Linked DNA regions of Oryzias latipes. The protein of the gene in region 1 interacts with the protein of each later gene in a pairwise test. Links are inferred from orthologs where the notes say so. Each region holds a gene or a part of one and is shown in the gene's direction. Other genes may lie near its edges.

The links.
Region 2: the proteins of gpn1 (region 1) and gpn2 interact in binary tests that used the Homo sapiens proteins (3 or more experiments, as listed by UniProt). The link is inferred for Oryzias latipes from reciprocal best matches to the Homo sapiens genes GPN1 and GPN2.

What each region holds. Positions count from the first base shown.
Region 1 is NC_019861.2:37,313,849-37,321,802, forward strand, and holds the end of gpn1 (GPN-loop GTPase 1), read left to right. Parts: intron 1-1,417; coding exon 1,418-1,496; intron 1,497-1,567; coding exon 1,568-1,662; intron 1,663-2,223; coding exon 2,224-2,269; intron 2,270-2,341; coding exon 2,342-2,488; intron 2,489-3,153; coding exon 3,154-3,236; intron 3,237-3,319; coding exon 3,320-3,359; intron 3,360-3,429; coding exon 3,430-3,520; intron 3,521-3,591; coding exon 3,592-3,696; intron 3,697-4,600; coding exon 4,601-4,707; 3' UTR 4,708-5,045; downstream 5,046-7,954. UniProt on the Homo sapiens protein: Small GTPase required for proper nuclear import of RNA polymerase II (RNAPII). May act at an RNAP assembly step prior to nuclear import.
Region 2 is NC_019874.2:9,884,333-9,891,684, reverse strand, and holds the end of gpn2 (GPN-loop GTPase 2), read left to right. Parts: coding exon 1-320; intron 321-411; coding exon 412-568; intron 569-639; coding exon 640-800; intron 801-4,355; coding exon 4,356-4,486; intron 4,487-4,675; coding exon 4,676-4,748; 3' UTR 4,749-5,000; downstream 5,001-7,352. UniProt on the Homo sapiens protein: Small GTPase required for proper localization of RNA polymerase II and III (RNAPII and RNAPIII). May act at an RNAP assembly step prior to nuclear import.

The sequences.
Region 1 (7,954 bases):
CCTTGTGTACAGTATTTCTGTTTACATTAAGCGCCATCTAATGTCAGGGAATGAAATTGCATGTTCACTCGGCTCATCGTCAGCAAAAATCGCCTGGGTATGAACACAAAAAACGTGGCGAATAACGCCTGGCGAATATTCGTCCCGGTGTGTACGGGCCTTTATTGGTTAAGAAACATTCATTCCTTTATTTTTCTTATACTGAAAAATATTTTGTGGTGGAAATCAGACAATGTTAACTGTTCCCTTTCTATATTTTAAGTTACCAAAATAAAAGCATTTCTTAACATTATGATCATTAAATAAACTGAATTTGACCATTTTATTAAATGGTAGTTTCTTCTAAGTCTTTTTTTGTTTGCCCTTCATGACACGTATCGTCTCGCCAGACTCTCGCCAATACACCCCCCTAATGAGAAATGACCAGCTCTAAAAAACGTCACGTCTGCTTTGTGGTCTCGTTAAGATTCGTTGAAATGTCTCATTTTGTTGCTAACGGCAACCAAACAAACCATTTATCAGAACAATCATCACCAAACCAGAGACCTGGAAGGATCTGAACGGCTGTCAGACTCATCGTAGGTTGTTGGAACTCAACAGTGTTTGTTTGTCTTCATCCCTACATCCATCCACGACAATATCCTGTAAACTGTGTTAGCGTGACATCAAATGACCTGATTGATGACATCACACTCATGTTTATGACAGAATGGCGTTGCTTGTGTCTGAATTCCTTCCCTACTCATTCTGTAGAGCGTTCTGCGTTTTCTAGTGCTGTCAGAATCTACACTTCCAAAGTCGAGTGCCCTAGAAATTTCCCAGAAGTCTCGATGCTCACTAGATCTGCGAATATAGACCACAATGGGGGTCGGCCGTGGTGCAGTGGTAGAGCGGTCGACTCCTGATCAGAAGGCTCGATTCCTGCCCTAACCGCCCATATGCTTAGGAAGCGCCCTTGGGCAAGACGCCAGACCCCACATTGCCCCGGTGGGGGGTTGGCGCCAGTGTTCAGCAGCAGAGTGTGCCACCGGTGTGCGACTGGGGTTGGTGTGTGGCTGTGACTGTGTGCTTTTATAAAGCATTGTGTTTTTGAGAAAAAATGTATTTTTTTAAAAATGTTTTCCTCATCTGAACTCTGTGGATTCATGAATGGTCGTCATAAAACACTAGATTTTCACTCTGTGAAATCGTGATGTCATAGTCGCGGTTTAAAAAAGTAGTGAGCGTGGCGTCCGACCTGCTTTTGTGTTCCAGGGCACTAGATAGTTTTTTAGTTGTTAGGGGTTTGGGCGGGAATTCAGACACAACCTTTAACTGTCAACATCTGTTTTCAGTCCAAATGTAAAGTGTTTGCGGAAACTCCGCCCCTTTATGGTCTGGTGGACCAGTAAGGTGACAGTCTTGTGCGCCCCTGCAGGTATGTCCTCATCGACACCCCCGGTCAGATTGAGGTCTTCACCTGGTCGGCGTCTGGAACCATCATCACGGAGGCTCTGGTGGGCGGAGTCTCCCGTCGTCTACGGCGTCCTGAAGTGGTCGTGGTCGTCACCTTGTGTTTGTGTTTCAGGCTTCGTCCTTTCCCGTCGTGGTCGTCTACGTGATGGACACGTCCCGGAGCGTCAACCCCGTCACCTTCATGTCCAACATGCTGTACGCCTGCAGGTAAAGGCAGCCGGAGTTCAATCTCCCAGAATGCTCAGCGCTGCATCTCAGGTCTCAAACACAGAGAACATGCAGTAAACGGCGTCTGCGGCGCTTTTCTACCTTCATTCAGGCCCAAAGTGCGTTACATCCAGACACACACATGCACACGCACGTGCACACACCATGCTGCCATGCGAAGGACCACCATGTCAAACCAAAGACACGTGAACAGGCAGAGTGGGAATCAAACCTGCCACTTACTGATCAGAGGTGGACCCTCATACCTGGAAAGTTGACCGATTTACAAAATAAAAAAATGACACAGAACAGACGGATTATTTCCATTCAAGCTTTTTGTCAAGTTTTTCCTGTAAATACGTTAAAACTGGAAATAAAAAGCAGAACAAAGAAAAGTTATGAGTAGAACCAACCATCAGGGGGCGCTGTCGGCGCAGACGCCAGCTTCATGTCTTCTTGTGGTTCTTTTGATTTGGATGTGGATTTTTATCCCCCCCCCCCCCCCCTCCTGCTGCCCCCCCTGCTGGTGTTTGTTGAATGAATCCTTTCTTCTTTCTGCAGCATTCTCTACAAAACGAAGCTTCCTTTCATCGTCGTCATGAACAAGGTAGGTCGGTCCCGCCTCCACGCCGTCACGCCGCCGTTCCCGCCGCCGACCGTTTGTCTGTTGGTTCTGCAGACGGACATCATCGACCACGGCTTCGCCGTGGAGTGGATGCAGGACTTTGAGGCCTTCCAGGACGCGCTGAACCAGGAGACGTCCTACGTCAGCAACCTGACCCGGTCCATGAGCCTGGTTCTGGACGAGTTCTACACCAACCTGAGGGTGAGAGTCAGGAGTCCATAGAGGTGCAAAGAGCGCTGACCCATGAGATCTACAGGGAACCAAATCCAAGTTCTGTCAGGACACATTAATCAATGTTTCAGCAGCTGCTTCCACAGAAATATGCCAGAGTTATTAGCACAGGAGCTACACTTCAGGATAAAACATTTTAGTATTAGTGGTCAAAACATTTACAAAGGTTATTTATAATAAAAAACACAGCAGGAACATCCATGTCTGCAGGCCTGCTTTGTTTTCAGCCGTTGGCTTAGAGCTGTGTGGAAGGTTGGACAGTTTTCATGGTTTCTGCTGTGCTGTGGCTGTTTATTCCATCACGGTGCTCCTCTGACACCACAGTTTGGCTGAAGTTAGCCCTGCGCCTTTGAACATCCAGTTAAAGTCCTGGTTTTTCTGTTGACATTTCAAAATAAAGGTCTTGTGAGGAGCGCTGTAGGAGAGGAAACCGGAGAAGAACACCGTAGAAACGTCTTTTTTAACTTCACTGTCGTTCATTAAACGTTGTTAGCTGTTTGTGTTCTGCTGTTTCTCCCTGCCGGTTCCTGAAGGTTACGCCGTGTGTCGTGTAGATGTTTTTCAAAGTCTGTCTGGACTTTTGTTCATAGCACAGAACAAACCGAGGCAGAGTTTAAGTGGGCGTGTCTCTATAGGTGGTGGGCGTGTCTGCTGTCACGGGAAGCGGGTTGGACGATCTGTTCGTTCAGGTGGAAGACGCGGCCAAAGAGTACGAGACGTGAGTCTGGGAAGCATAACGAAGCTTCAAACCCTCTGCTGCTTCATACGGTGAAAGTAACGAAGCTCCGCCTCCTTCCCCAGAGAGTACCGGCCTGAGTACGAACGCCTCCGCCAGCAGCTGGTGAGTGTTTGGCGTTTGTGTGTGGGGTCGACTCCGCCGGCCGCTCTCTGAGTCACGCTCCTGTTCCCAGGCGGAGGCGCAGAGCAGGAAGCAGCAGGAGCAGCTGGAGCGGCTCAGGAAGGACCTGGGAGCCGTGAACGTGACCGGGACTCCGCCCACAGGTGCAGACAGCCCCGCCCACTCTTTAAAAAACCCTGTATTTAACTCCAACTGACTCTGTGTCCGACCGCAGAGGGCGGCGAGGAGGCGGGACCCAGTGACCTCATCATGATGCGTGGGAACCCCGACAATGACGAGGAGGAGGAGGACAGCGACACCGACGACATCGACCACACAGGTGAGGAAGACGAAGGTGGACGGACTCCGTAGAAGCAACCAAACAGGCGGCCATCACAAACTCCGCCCCTGTTTGGTTGCTGTGGCAACCGAGCCAAATTCTGTGTCATCGAACAATGTGATCAACTTCTATCGGCCCCTGAGCGCCATCATGAGGCGAGATGAGGCACGACGAGAAAGAAAAACATCTCTGTAGAAAGTATCTTCATTAAGGGACAAACTCACTGGCTTCACTTTACACTTTCAGTTTGAAAACGTGTTGGAGGGAAAAAGGCGGCAAAACTGCGATGAAAAACGAAGCAAAGGAAACTTAAAGGATGGCAAAATCCATAAAGAGCCTTTTTTCCATATTTACATAAACATTAAAACAGATTTTTTAGTCTTTAGGGATGTTTGCTCTGCATTTTAACGGAACCGTGAAGATTTTCCTCCGTTTAGATGAAACGTCCAAACGTAAAGGTTTGACCCGCCGTCGGTCCAAACTGTTAGATCAGCGGCGCCGCTGGAGGCCATCCGGCGTCACCAGGCCAACCGGGAGGATCTTCTGCATGAAGACAGGTCTGTGCTGTGGTGGAGCGTCACTCCAGTTGTTCCTGTTGGAGACCTGTCTTCTGCTGCTGAACGTCTAGACTCAAATCCAAGAATTACATTTTATTCAGGCCCCCCCCCCCCTTGCTAATGTGATCAATGGTTCAGTCCGACTGTAACGATTCTTTACCCTCTGATTATTGATCCAAACGTCTGGATCTCATCTGTGATCGCCACAGCAGTTTCTGCTCACTTCACTCCCCACCCTTCCAGCTGCTGAGGACGCGCGTTCGATTCCCTCTCTGGACCAGGCGTGTGGATGTTTCCATCAGGGAGGGGGCGCAGAGACGCTAACATGTGAACGTTTGTGCTTTCAGTCACGGAGGAGAGCAAAGAGAGCGCCGCCTTCGGGAACTTCCTGAAGGCGAGACGGGAAGTGGTTCAGGTGCGGAACAGGAAGTGCGCCGTGCCTGAGGCGCCGTGACCTCTGAGCGACTCCAGACCGTGGACTGGCACAGGCTAATGTACCGAGCAGGTGGTGTCTACACACAGTGAGAGCTGTGGACTGATGGGGTGACCTTTGACCCCCATGCAGAGCTCCCGATCGGCTGCTTTGCTCCTTTAGAAAGTATTTTTTTATGGAAATGTTTTTGTTTTATGACTGTTTGCTTTTGTTTGTGAACAGATTTATGATCTAAACAAATAAACATCAGAGACTTCAGTCAGTGGCCGGCATGTGACGGTGACCCAGACGCAGGAAATGCATTTTAACAAATGTGTTTTCAGTTTTTACATTTCATTTAAACACTTTTTCTCACCCGAGTCTGTTTTACATTTAAAGGCCATAAAAGCTTTGAGAGAACAAACTTCCTAACGTAGTTTAGCCTCAGTTTTGGTCGTAAAATCCTGATTTAGGCTTTTGGGTCTAAAATGTACGGTAGTCAAATGACGGCAGCAGTTATTTGGAATTGAAAAGTCATACGAGTGCACAGACGGTGTTCCAGACTGAGTCTGGAGCTCCCCAAAGGGCAGCTCCTCTGTAGAGAAAGGCAGGCATGTCCAAAGTGCGGCCCAGTGGCCAAATGCAGCCCCGCCTTAAAGGGTCTATATCACTCTAAATCCACTTTTTAAGTGTATTATAATGTTTATTCCTCTCTATAAACAACCCAAAGTGGTATTTTGATTCCTTCCTGCATTTCTGTTTCCCCTCCCAACCCACAAAACGGGCGGTTCCTCACATTGTGACATAACAAAGTGAGGAACCGCCCCTTCCAGGAAGAGTCTGCGCTTCCAGCCCCGCCCCCAGGCTAACACCCACTTTCTCCGTGGAGCTAGCAGTGATCGACTTTGCTATGCTCAATATGCACAACCATTGTTTTGTGGGCGTGGCCTCCATGCTTGGTGAATGGATGTTGATGAGACATAAATGCAGGAACAATTATCTCCTGTCAGCGGAAAAACAGCCCACTGATGTTCTGGAAGCACCTCACCCCCACCCCCGGCCGGCACACAGTTTTCTTCTCCGGTTCTTCCTCCATTCATGCTTGGGCTCTCATGAATGGATTCAGCCCGCCCACCACCATCTGTCATCGCACGGCGCCCACTCGCCGCGTGGTCGGCCTGAAGAGCTGCTGACTCACTCGGAGCTGGAGTCTGAAAAAAGACACCAGAGAAAAAAAGTCTCATCAAGAAAAAGAATCAGATCTGCAAACTAAAATACTACATTTCAGTTTTAGTCAGAATCACAATAACCTTATCAAAAACAGAGACAAATGGAACCAAAATAAATCAAGTTTAGCCTAAATTACCAGAGGGGTTTATGCAAATAGACTCCTATGTCTATGAAGACTCTTTCATTCAGGTTGATTCCATCATAGCAGTAGGTTTAAAGGTCATCTGGACTTAGTTTTTAACACTGCTGTAGATGCAGTTTCAGGTCTGACTCCTCCCCCATGAGCTCTTAGACCAGCTAATTCTGAATTGACAAAGCCTCTTGGATAAGAGGTGAAACGTCTTCTAACTTTAAAACCAAGTCCAGATGACAGCCCCCAAACCTACTACTAAAAATAGACTCCTAGTGTGTCAGAGGACCCAGAACCGCCAAATCTGTCCAACACACGGCGCCTTCAGCTCCCGTCTGTCTGCTCAGCTCCTGGACACGTTAAAATAACCTGAGGTCTGAGAACCCCCACCTCGTTTTCCAGAACATCCTGTCCCTGCCGGACTCATCGGAACCACAACATCCACATCAGAAGGGGGGAGCTTGAAGACCAGGGCAGGGGGGGGTCAGAGGGTTTGGAGGTCCGTTGGTACCTTAATCCTCTTTAGCTGCTTCCTCTTGGGCGGTTCTGGATTTCCTAACACAATAGGTGTGTATTTGCATAAACCCCTCTGGTAATTTAGGCTAATTTTATATTTTTCTATTTTTGTACTGAAATGGTGATGCTTCAATTTCATTATGCAATGGACAATGACCATAAAAGAAAATCTAAATCTAATCAGTTTTTACATCATTTGAAACCAAATGTTTATGTTTTAGTTTCAACAATAAAACATCTTTAGATTGGATTTTTCTTTTCGGTCTTATTTTGAAAACCCAACATCCTGTTGGATTAGATGAATTCATTGTTCAACATGGAAAGGAGCCAGTTGGAGGATGACTTCATTCCAGTAAATGTGGTTAGAAAATCCACGTTTTCTTAAAGCGTCTTTCTGCTGGTTTGACGATGCTTTCAAAATAAGAGTCTGCTGGAAAACCTTCCTTTCTGTTCACGTGTGCCAGAACGACTTCAACAAAGATGGAAAAAACGCTCAGGATCTGATGATCATCAGCCAGAAATGAACGATGAGGAACAGTTTGGATCCAATTTTGCTAACTTCTCCCAAAAAGTAACGAAAAGTTGAAGGAAGTTAATAAAAGTCACAAAGAACAAATAAAGATGTCTGACCATAGAAACACCATAAACACCATAACCTTTATTATTTATTAGGGGTGGGTGTTTTTCTTGATTGACAGGTGGGTGGACTGAACAAACCTCTCCTCTTGCTTTGTGCCCCCCCCCCCCCATTTGGCCGTGATGGCGTCTCAGATGACCATGTGGGTGGTGTCAGATTACGGGTGTGTTTAAAATAACACGTCTGCAGAAAAATGACCTGGTAAACGAGTAGCTGCCATAGATTCACACTGATTGTGGTGCATTTAGTTAACCTCTAGTCTCAGTAACCTCAGACTAGTTAACCTCTAGTTTACCTGAAGGATGGACTCGTTTTTAAACTTCCCCTTTGTCCGTTTTCTAAAGTATGTTTATCATTATTATTATACATCATTTTTATCTCCTGCTAATCTATCAACACTGAGACAGTAGATGTTTTTACCACGGGAGAAAAATGTCCTCATGTTGTGAGACGGAGAAAACAAAGCAGTTATTCAGACAAAAACAACAAAAGGATGTTTGTTGTTTTCATGCCTGGAATGAATCTTAAAGTATTTAATTCACTGTTTTCAAGATATTCCAGGATTTCTGCCTCCATTGAAATAAATGGGGAATCCTTGGTTCTGAAGCTCGCTGGTTCGATACCCGGCTCTGGCACTTTTTTTACAAACATCTTTTTTGTTATTGTTCTGTTTTCACTTTATTTAGGGTCAACTTTCATCATTTCTTTTTGCCATTTATTACCCTTTAGTTTCATCCAGCAGTACAGCATCAAGCCTGGATTTTCTTCTGGAGACT
Region 2 (7,352 bases), on another chromosome or scaffold:
AGTTCTTGAGCACCATGGGACGCAAGGTGGTGGTGGTGAACATGGACCCCGCTAACGAGGAGATGCCGTATCCCTGCGCGGTGGACATCTCGGAGCTGATCACTCTGGATGAAGTGATGGACAGCCTGAAGCTCGGGCCCAACGGTGGCCTTCTCTACTGCATGCAGTACCTGGAGGCCAATTTGGACTGGCTGGAGAGCAAGCTGAAGCGGCACGGTGACTGTTACTTCCTGTTTGACTGTCCTGGACAGGTGGAGCTTTACACTCACCAGAGTTCAGTCAAGAACATATTCTCCCAGCTGGGAAAGTGGAACTTCCGGGTGAGATGTCTCCATATCCAGATATTTCTGACTGAAAACCAGCTTTTTAGCCTGACACTTGATCTAAATGCTGTTGTGTCTATTCTTTCAGCTGACAGCAGTGCACATTGTGGACTCCCACTACTGCGCTGACCCAGCTAAGTTCATCTCTGTTCTGTGCACCTCTCTGTCCACCATGCTGCACGTGGAGCTCCCCCACGTCAACGTGCTCTCAAAGATGGACCTGATCGAGCAATACGGCAAACTGGGTATGCGTTCCGTTTACTAGCTCGTGTGAAGGTTTTCTCCACGGCGCTGACGCATCCTTGTGTTTGTCCAGCCTTCAACCTGGACTTCTACACGGAAGTGATGGACCTGACCTACCTTCTGGATCACCTGGCCACTGACCCGTTCTTTAAAAAGTTCCAGCGCTTGAATGAAAAGCTGGCAGAGGTGATCCAGGATTACAGCCTGGTCTCCTTTGTACCTCTGAATGTGCAGGTATTGCTGCTGTTTGTAAATGTTACTGTTTTTATCTAAATGTTACCAACTTTTAGTGATTTCTCTCAAATTATTTCAAATGAGTAAGTTAAAAATGGATGTTTTAAAAAATTATATTTTTCTTTCATTTAAGGTATTCTAATATGTTTGTGTTACACAATAACTGGTTATAAGCTTATAAAACACAAATGTTTTTTTTTTTTTATTGATGGGAAGCTTTAATCAGGAAAAAGCTTTAATTTTCATTTTTCCAGTTGATGTAAGGAATTTCTCTTCTGAATTTCTAAAGGTTGAGTTAAGTTAGGCCGCATTTACACTGCATGGTTCAAGTGACTCAATTCCGATTTTTTCCTCTCATGTGGCACAGATCGGATATGACCGGTGAATGTGTAAGCAGGACAAAAGCGCATGGATTCCGATTTTCTCAGATCGGATTCAGGCCTCATTCATATGTGGAAATAAATCGGATATGAATCGGATACGTGCATTTGCGTGTGCCATGTAGGCAGACAAATCGGATATTCCCCAGTAAATGCGAGTCGTACGTCAGTGACGTCAACTCAGGACATCACCAACTGAGATCACATGACTTATTAAGGTGCTTTTGTGCACTGATGTTGCTGTCAGCGTGTTACCTTTCAGCCTCAGGCTTAAGACCGTAGTCGGAAACCGCTGTTATTTCCGGTCCGGTCCCGGTCGGGACGTAAACGGTAACTAATGAAGCGGGACACCGTTGCTCTGGAACAGGCTAGAAGCCGGTTATATCTTTGCTTGTGTTTTTGCGGAGTGGGGGCGTGTATGATGGGGACCGCGCGTGGTGTGTGTGGGTGTGTGTGTGTGTGTTAGGAGAGGAGAGGGGATGTGACCACGGAGCGGGGGACTGTCAGAGAACCGTAAATCAAAAATAAGGTGTCCACTCTGGAGGCTGAGGGTTTCGAACGGGAAAGTGAACCCCGAAGTAGAATCCGCCTTCGGCCCTGGAGAAAATCTCCCGTGCGTTTCTGACCACGGTCGGAAAAAGAGAAGTCATCGCGCAGGAAAGGTTCAACACTTGGATCAAACTGTTAGTACAGCACGTCTGCAAACACTTCCTCATTCAAAATTCAGAGAGAGCTGAGGAGCCCTCCTTTTTCCTCTCCCGCGCATCCCTTCAGCAGCGCCCAAGACAACGCCTCCATCCGTCGCTGAGTTGCCTCCATGACAACCGCAGTCACAAAAGTCAGAAGGAGGTCCGCGGAAGGCAGAAATGCTGCTACGTAGTCCTCAAAACGTCTACGATTGATAGTTTCAGCATTGTATAGTGTGAAAGCAAAAATCGGATACGGGTCACTTTTAAAAGATGATGTAAGCGGGTCGTCAAAAAAATCGGATATAGTAGGAAAATCGGATATGAGCATCAAGACCTGCAGTGTAAATGCGGCCTTAATGTTAAACTTTCACATTTCTAGAGTCATTTACTGCATTTTATTTTGCTTAACAAAGTTAGTCTGGCTATCATTGTAGTTTTTGGACCTGAAAACGGGGAACATTTTCTGCAGGTGGATCTCAGTCCTGAAGTGTGTGGGCATTTGTTTCCTCACATTCCTCATAGATGAACAATGATTCTAAGCTGTGCGTGTCCACAGACCAGAGTCTGCGTGTCAGCACTTCAGATGGGACTGTTGTTTTCTTTCAGCAGATATTGTTATGGCTCTTGATCAAAAAGGGTGTGAATGGTGAAGCGTTTCCAGTTTTCTCAGCAATTTGTTATGTTCAACATTGACTTCATAAGAAGAAATGACCCTCCAGGAGAGGTAGAAATGAGGATTTTGTAGATTTGTGGGTTTGTGTGGTTATCTCACAGAGCCAAACCTTGATAAAACATTAGACCAATGACTTGATTTGAAGGTCACTTCACGCTGAAGATACAGTGGGGCAAAAACGGATTCTGTCAGCCACCAACTGTAAAAGGTTCTTCCACTTAAAAAGACGAGAGAGGCCTGTCATTTTCAAAATATGTAGACCTCAACTATGAGAGACAAAATGAGGAATGTAATCCAGAAAATCACATTGTCTGATTTTTAAAGAATTTATTTGAAAAATAAGTATTTTATCACCTACAAACAAGCAATATTTCTGGTTCTCACAGACCTGTAACTTCTTCTGTAATATGATCCTCTGTCCTCCACTGGTTACCTACCGTATATATAAGACACCTGTCCACAACCTCAAACAGTCACACTCCAAACTCCACTATGTCAAAGAGCAAAGAGCTGTCTAAGGACACCAGAAACACAATTGTTGACCTGCACCAGGCTTTGAAAACAGTATCTGCAATAGGTAAGCAGCTTGCTGTGAAGAAATCAACTGTGGGAGCAATTATTTGGAAATGGAAGACAAACAAGACCACTGATAATCTCCCTCCATCTGGGGTTCCCCGCAAGATCTCACCCCGATGGGGTCAAAATGATCACAAGAACGGTGAGCAAACATCCCAGAACCACATGGGGGATCTAGTGAATGACCTGCAGAGAGCTGGGACCAAAGTAACAAAGGCTACCATCAGTAACACACTACCCCACCAGGGACTCAAACCCTGCAGTGTCAGACGTTTCCCCTGCTAAAGACAGTACATGTGCAGGACCATCTAAAGTTTGCTAGGGAGCATTTGGATGATCCAGAAGAGGATTGGGAGAATGTCCTATGGTCAGATGAAACCAAAATAGAACTTTTTGGTAAGAACTCTACTCGTGTTTGGAGGAGAAAGAAAGCTGCATTTCGTCCAAAGAACACCATACCTACTCTAAAGCACGGTATTTTTGGCCCATTCCTCCATGCAGTTCTCCTCTAGAGCCGTGATGTTTTGGGTATAAAACAAAGTTTTGAGTTGAACTTTTGTTATTAACCAGTTACTTATTTTCCACCAAAATGTACAAATATATTCTTTAAAAATCAGACAATGTGATTTTCTGGATTTTTTTGTCTCATTTTGTCTCTCATAGTTGAGGTCTACCTATGATGGGCCTCTCTCATCTTTTTAAGTGGAAGAACCTTTTACAGTTGGTGGCTGACAGAATCCGTTTTTGCCCCACTGTATCTGCAGTGTGAAGTGACCTTCAAATCAAGTCTGGATAACACAGCTTCATTGGTCTAATGTTTTATCAAGGTTTGGCTCTGTGAGATAACCACACAAACCCACAAATCTACAAAATCCTCATTTCTACCTCTCCTGGAGGGTCATTTTTACCATCATATCTGCAGTGGAAGGTAAACAGGTGATAAAGATGGAGGTTTTGAAAACCACATTAATTTCAGTTGCTTTTGAATTCATTCATTTTCTTAACCTGTTTATCCCCTATAGGGTCACAGGGCTACCAGAGCCTAACCCGGCCACTGTTGGGCAAAGGCAGGGTACACCCTGGACAGATTTTATTATAATTATTATTATGAAGAAAGCACAAGCAGAAAAACACTCAGCTGCATATTTTTAAGGTTTCAGCAATCTATTGCAACAGTTTTGTGAGTGTCTCCAAGGGAAAACCCCCAGATCAGATGTTTTCTTCCTTCTTTCTGGAGGACAAAGAGAGCATGATTCGGGTCTTACGAGCGGTGGACAAGGCCAACGGCTACTGTTTTGGAGATTTGGAGGAGAGAAATCTACAGGCTATGATGTCAGCTGCGGTGGGGGCAGACTTCCATTTCAACTTGTATCCTTCCCAGATCCCTGCGCTGACTCACTGTGACTCATTTGTTTCAACATTAACTCAAAGAACAGTCCAGACTTTATACCGCCCTTTTTTTTAGATTCTAATGTTAGATTATTTCAAGTATAATCAAATTCATGTCTTAATAATAAGCACATTAGTTGCTATATTTCCTTAAGTGTTATTCCACAGCACACTTGGAGTTCAAGAGAGGTATGTTGAAACTGGTGGAAGGACCGTGGAGGAGGAAATGATGGAGCTGTAAATGAAGACTCAGAAGAGAAGGACCGCCGTACATTTGAAGACTCTTATTCAAGTTCTCATCTCACTGCCAGGATTTCACTACTGCTATTGAAAAAAAGGGAAGCCAGTGAGAAAATGAAAGCTAACTTTGCTGTGAAATATCACCTCAAATGAACCACAGAAGAGAGCATTCAGTTCTTCTAATAAAAAAGCTTTTTGGTCCTTTGTTTTATGAAATACACTTTTGTAAATAAAGCTTTTCTTTTGAAAGGTGTGAAAGTATTTCCTTTTTTAAGAGAAATTTTGAAATGCTGTGTTTAAAAAGTTACATTACATCATGAAATGCTGCCTTTATTTTATTAATCTGACATTTCCAAAATGCATTATTAAATATTTATTTCTTTTTTGTGGTTGGATGGTTCTTGGTTGTCCTCCTGCATCCACACTGTGAGAAGAATTTCTCCAAGAAAGAGACAGAAACCTGCATGTTTCCTCTCCTCTCTGTGTGATGGAACGAAATCCCTGCTGCTGCCTGCTCTTCTACAAACATCTGAACATTTTCTGTTTCCCAAAGATGAAGCGTCACCTCGACCAGCAGAGGGCGCATGCGCGTGCAGATGATCTCCCCCACCGATCCGCAGAAATCTGCTCCGACTCTTTCCAGCATCCGGAGCAGAAAAATTAAGTCAGGCGGGGAGAGGAAGCCACATTAAATCTGTGTTTCTGCACAACTGGCCCTGTGTCTGCTCTTTGGGATCTTCTGTCTTCATGAATGCAGCTCAAACTCCGCTGTATTTCTGCTTCAGTGTGAACCACTATAACCAATCCAATCCATGTTGTTTGGTCTCCTATTAAACCCATCTGAAACCCTCTCAGGCTGCCTTTTCCATGTCTGCACTTCTGCAGGGTTGCAGTTGGACTGACATAAATTCGTAAGCCACTTTGAGGACCCAAGCCGTTGTGGGAAATCAAATTAACCCTGTGTGGTGTGGCTGCTAATGACATGCGGGCACCGGGCAGCTTCCTGCCTGCTAAGCTGTGTGTGCATTAGGGGGTGTGTCAGGCAGAATGTTAAATTGTGTTTCTATGTTTGTACATGTGATCAAGTATCGCCCCCCTCACCGCCACTTCCTGCTTTTTTTTTCTTTCCTAACAGCCCCCTAGAGGTAGATAGATGTGTGCGTAAAGCGGAGCGCAGAGTAGAGTAGAGAGCGCGTGTGAGTGCGTGCGCGCCTATTTGTGTGTCGTGTGAGAATGTTAAACCGAAAGGCAGTGTTGTCCCACTTACATGCCAAATGTGAATTTCAACCAGTTGGATAAGGGGGGGAAACCAATAAGGATTTTGGGTTTTTATTTGGATCTTTTCTACCAAACAAGCAGTCCCTGAGACGCGCGCACGCACTTTTTCATTACCATCCCGCCCCTGCCCAATGCAGCGCGCACACCCAACTACCCCTGGCTGGAACGCGCCTGCTTTATTTGTCCTCCTTTAGAGGAGGTGCTGGGGGCCACACAACTCTGGAAAATGTTGTAATTGCTGTGAGACTTTGGAGGGAAAGCGAAAACACTCTGACAAACAGAAGATGCACGGGAAATGCGAGTTTACTTCAGCTGAGGGAGAACCTGCGCGCCCATCCCCCCACGCACAGCACACAGTGTTTCTGGTGGAGCGAGATACAGAGAGGAGAGGGGGTGGCAGCAGAGTAGAGCAGAGCTGAGCCGAGCCGAGCCGAGCAGGCAGGGGAGGGAATGTGCATTGGTAGTCTCTTGCTGCAAGGCTTCCTCCTTCTGTTCTGGAAAAACCTGTGTTGCTATCCTTGTCCAAATGAAACTGTGATAGGCAAGAGTGCACCAAAGCAAATCTGAAAGTAGAAAATACACAGACAAATATGAAAACTAATGTGTGTTCTTATTTATTGGAAGTATGTCATCTTATATGTCTCTTTGCACACTTAAAATAAGTAGCTAAACCATGTGGATTGTGACAATAAATGGCCTCAAAGATGTACAGAGTGGTCACAAAAAAGGAAAATCTGAGGCCAAATGTAAAAGATGATCTAAAGCAACCCAGACGACAACTGTTTGATCCCTAAAAAACAAAGTAGAACGAAAATGACTCAAAAAAAGACCACCTAAAATGAAATTAATGGAACTAAACAGTCTCCAAGGAGTAATAGATTGGTTTCAAAGAGCTGTGAAACCCAAGAGGGTATATTAAACTGAATGTTTAATCATGAGCCATGTCTCAAATTTTGAAAAATGAAGATGCAAATGTAAATAAAAAACAACAACAGCAATGTTTGGTATTTGGCTCAAAATTGTGAGGAAAAAGCTAATTTGATTTTGCTTTCAATATCTTTTAAACCATCTATCTAAACGAATTAATGCAGGGAATGTTTATGGGTTTATAAAGGTTTTTGAATCTATTGGTAGGAAATTGTTTGCAGAGCCTTGCAAAACAGTTATTCTTAAACAATTATTCTTTTATACATTTTCTTCTTCATGGTTACTCATGAAACGTTTTTGTACTAATGATGATATTTTTTAATCAAACATTATATTATTAGCTAAAAATATGTACTTAGGGATCTAATTTGTGTAAGTCTACGTTGAAAAATGAGCTCGA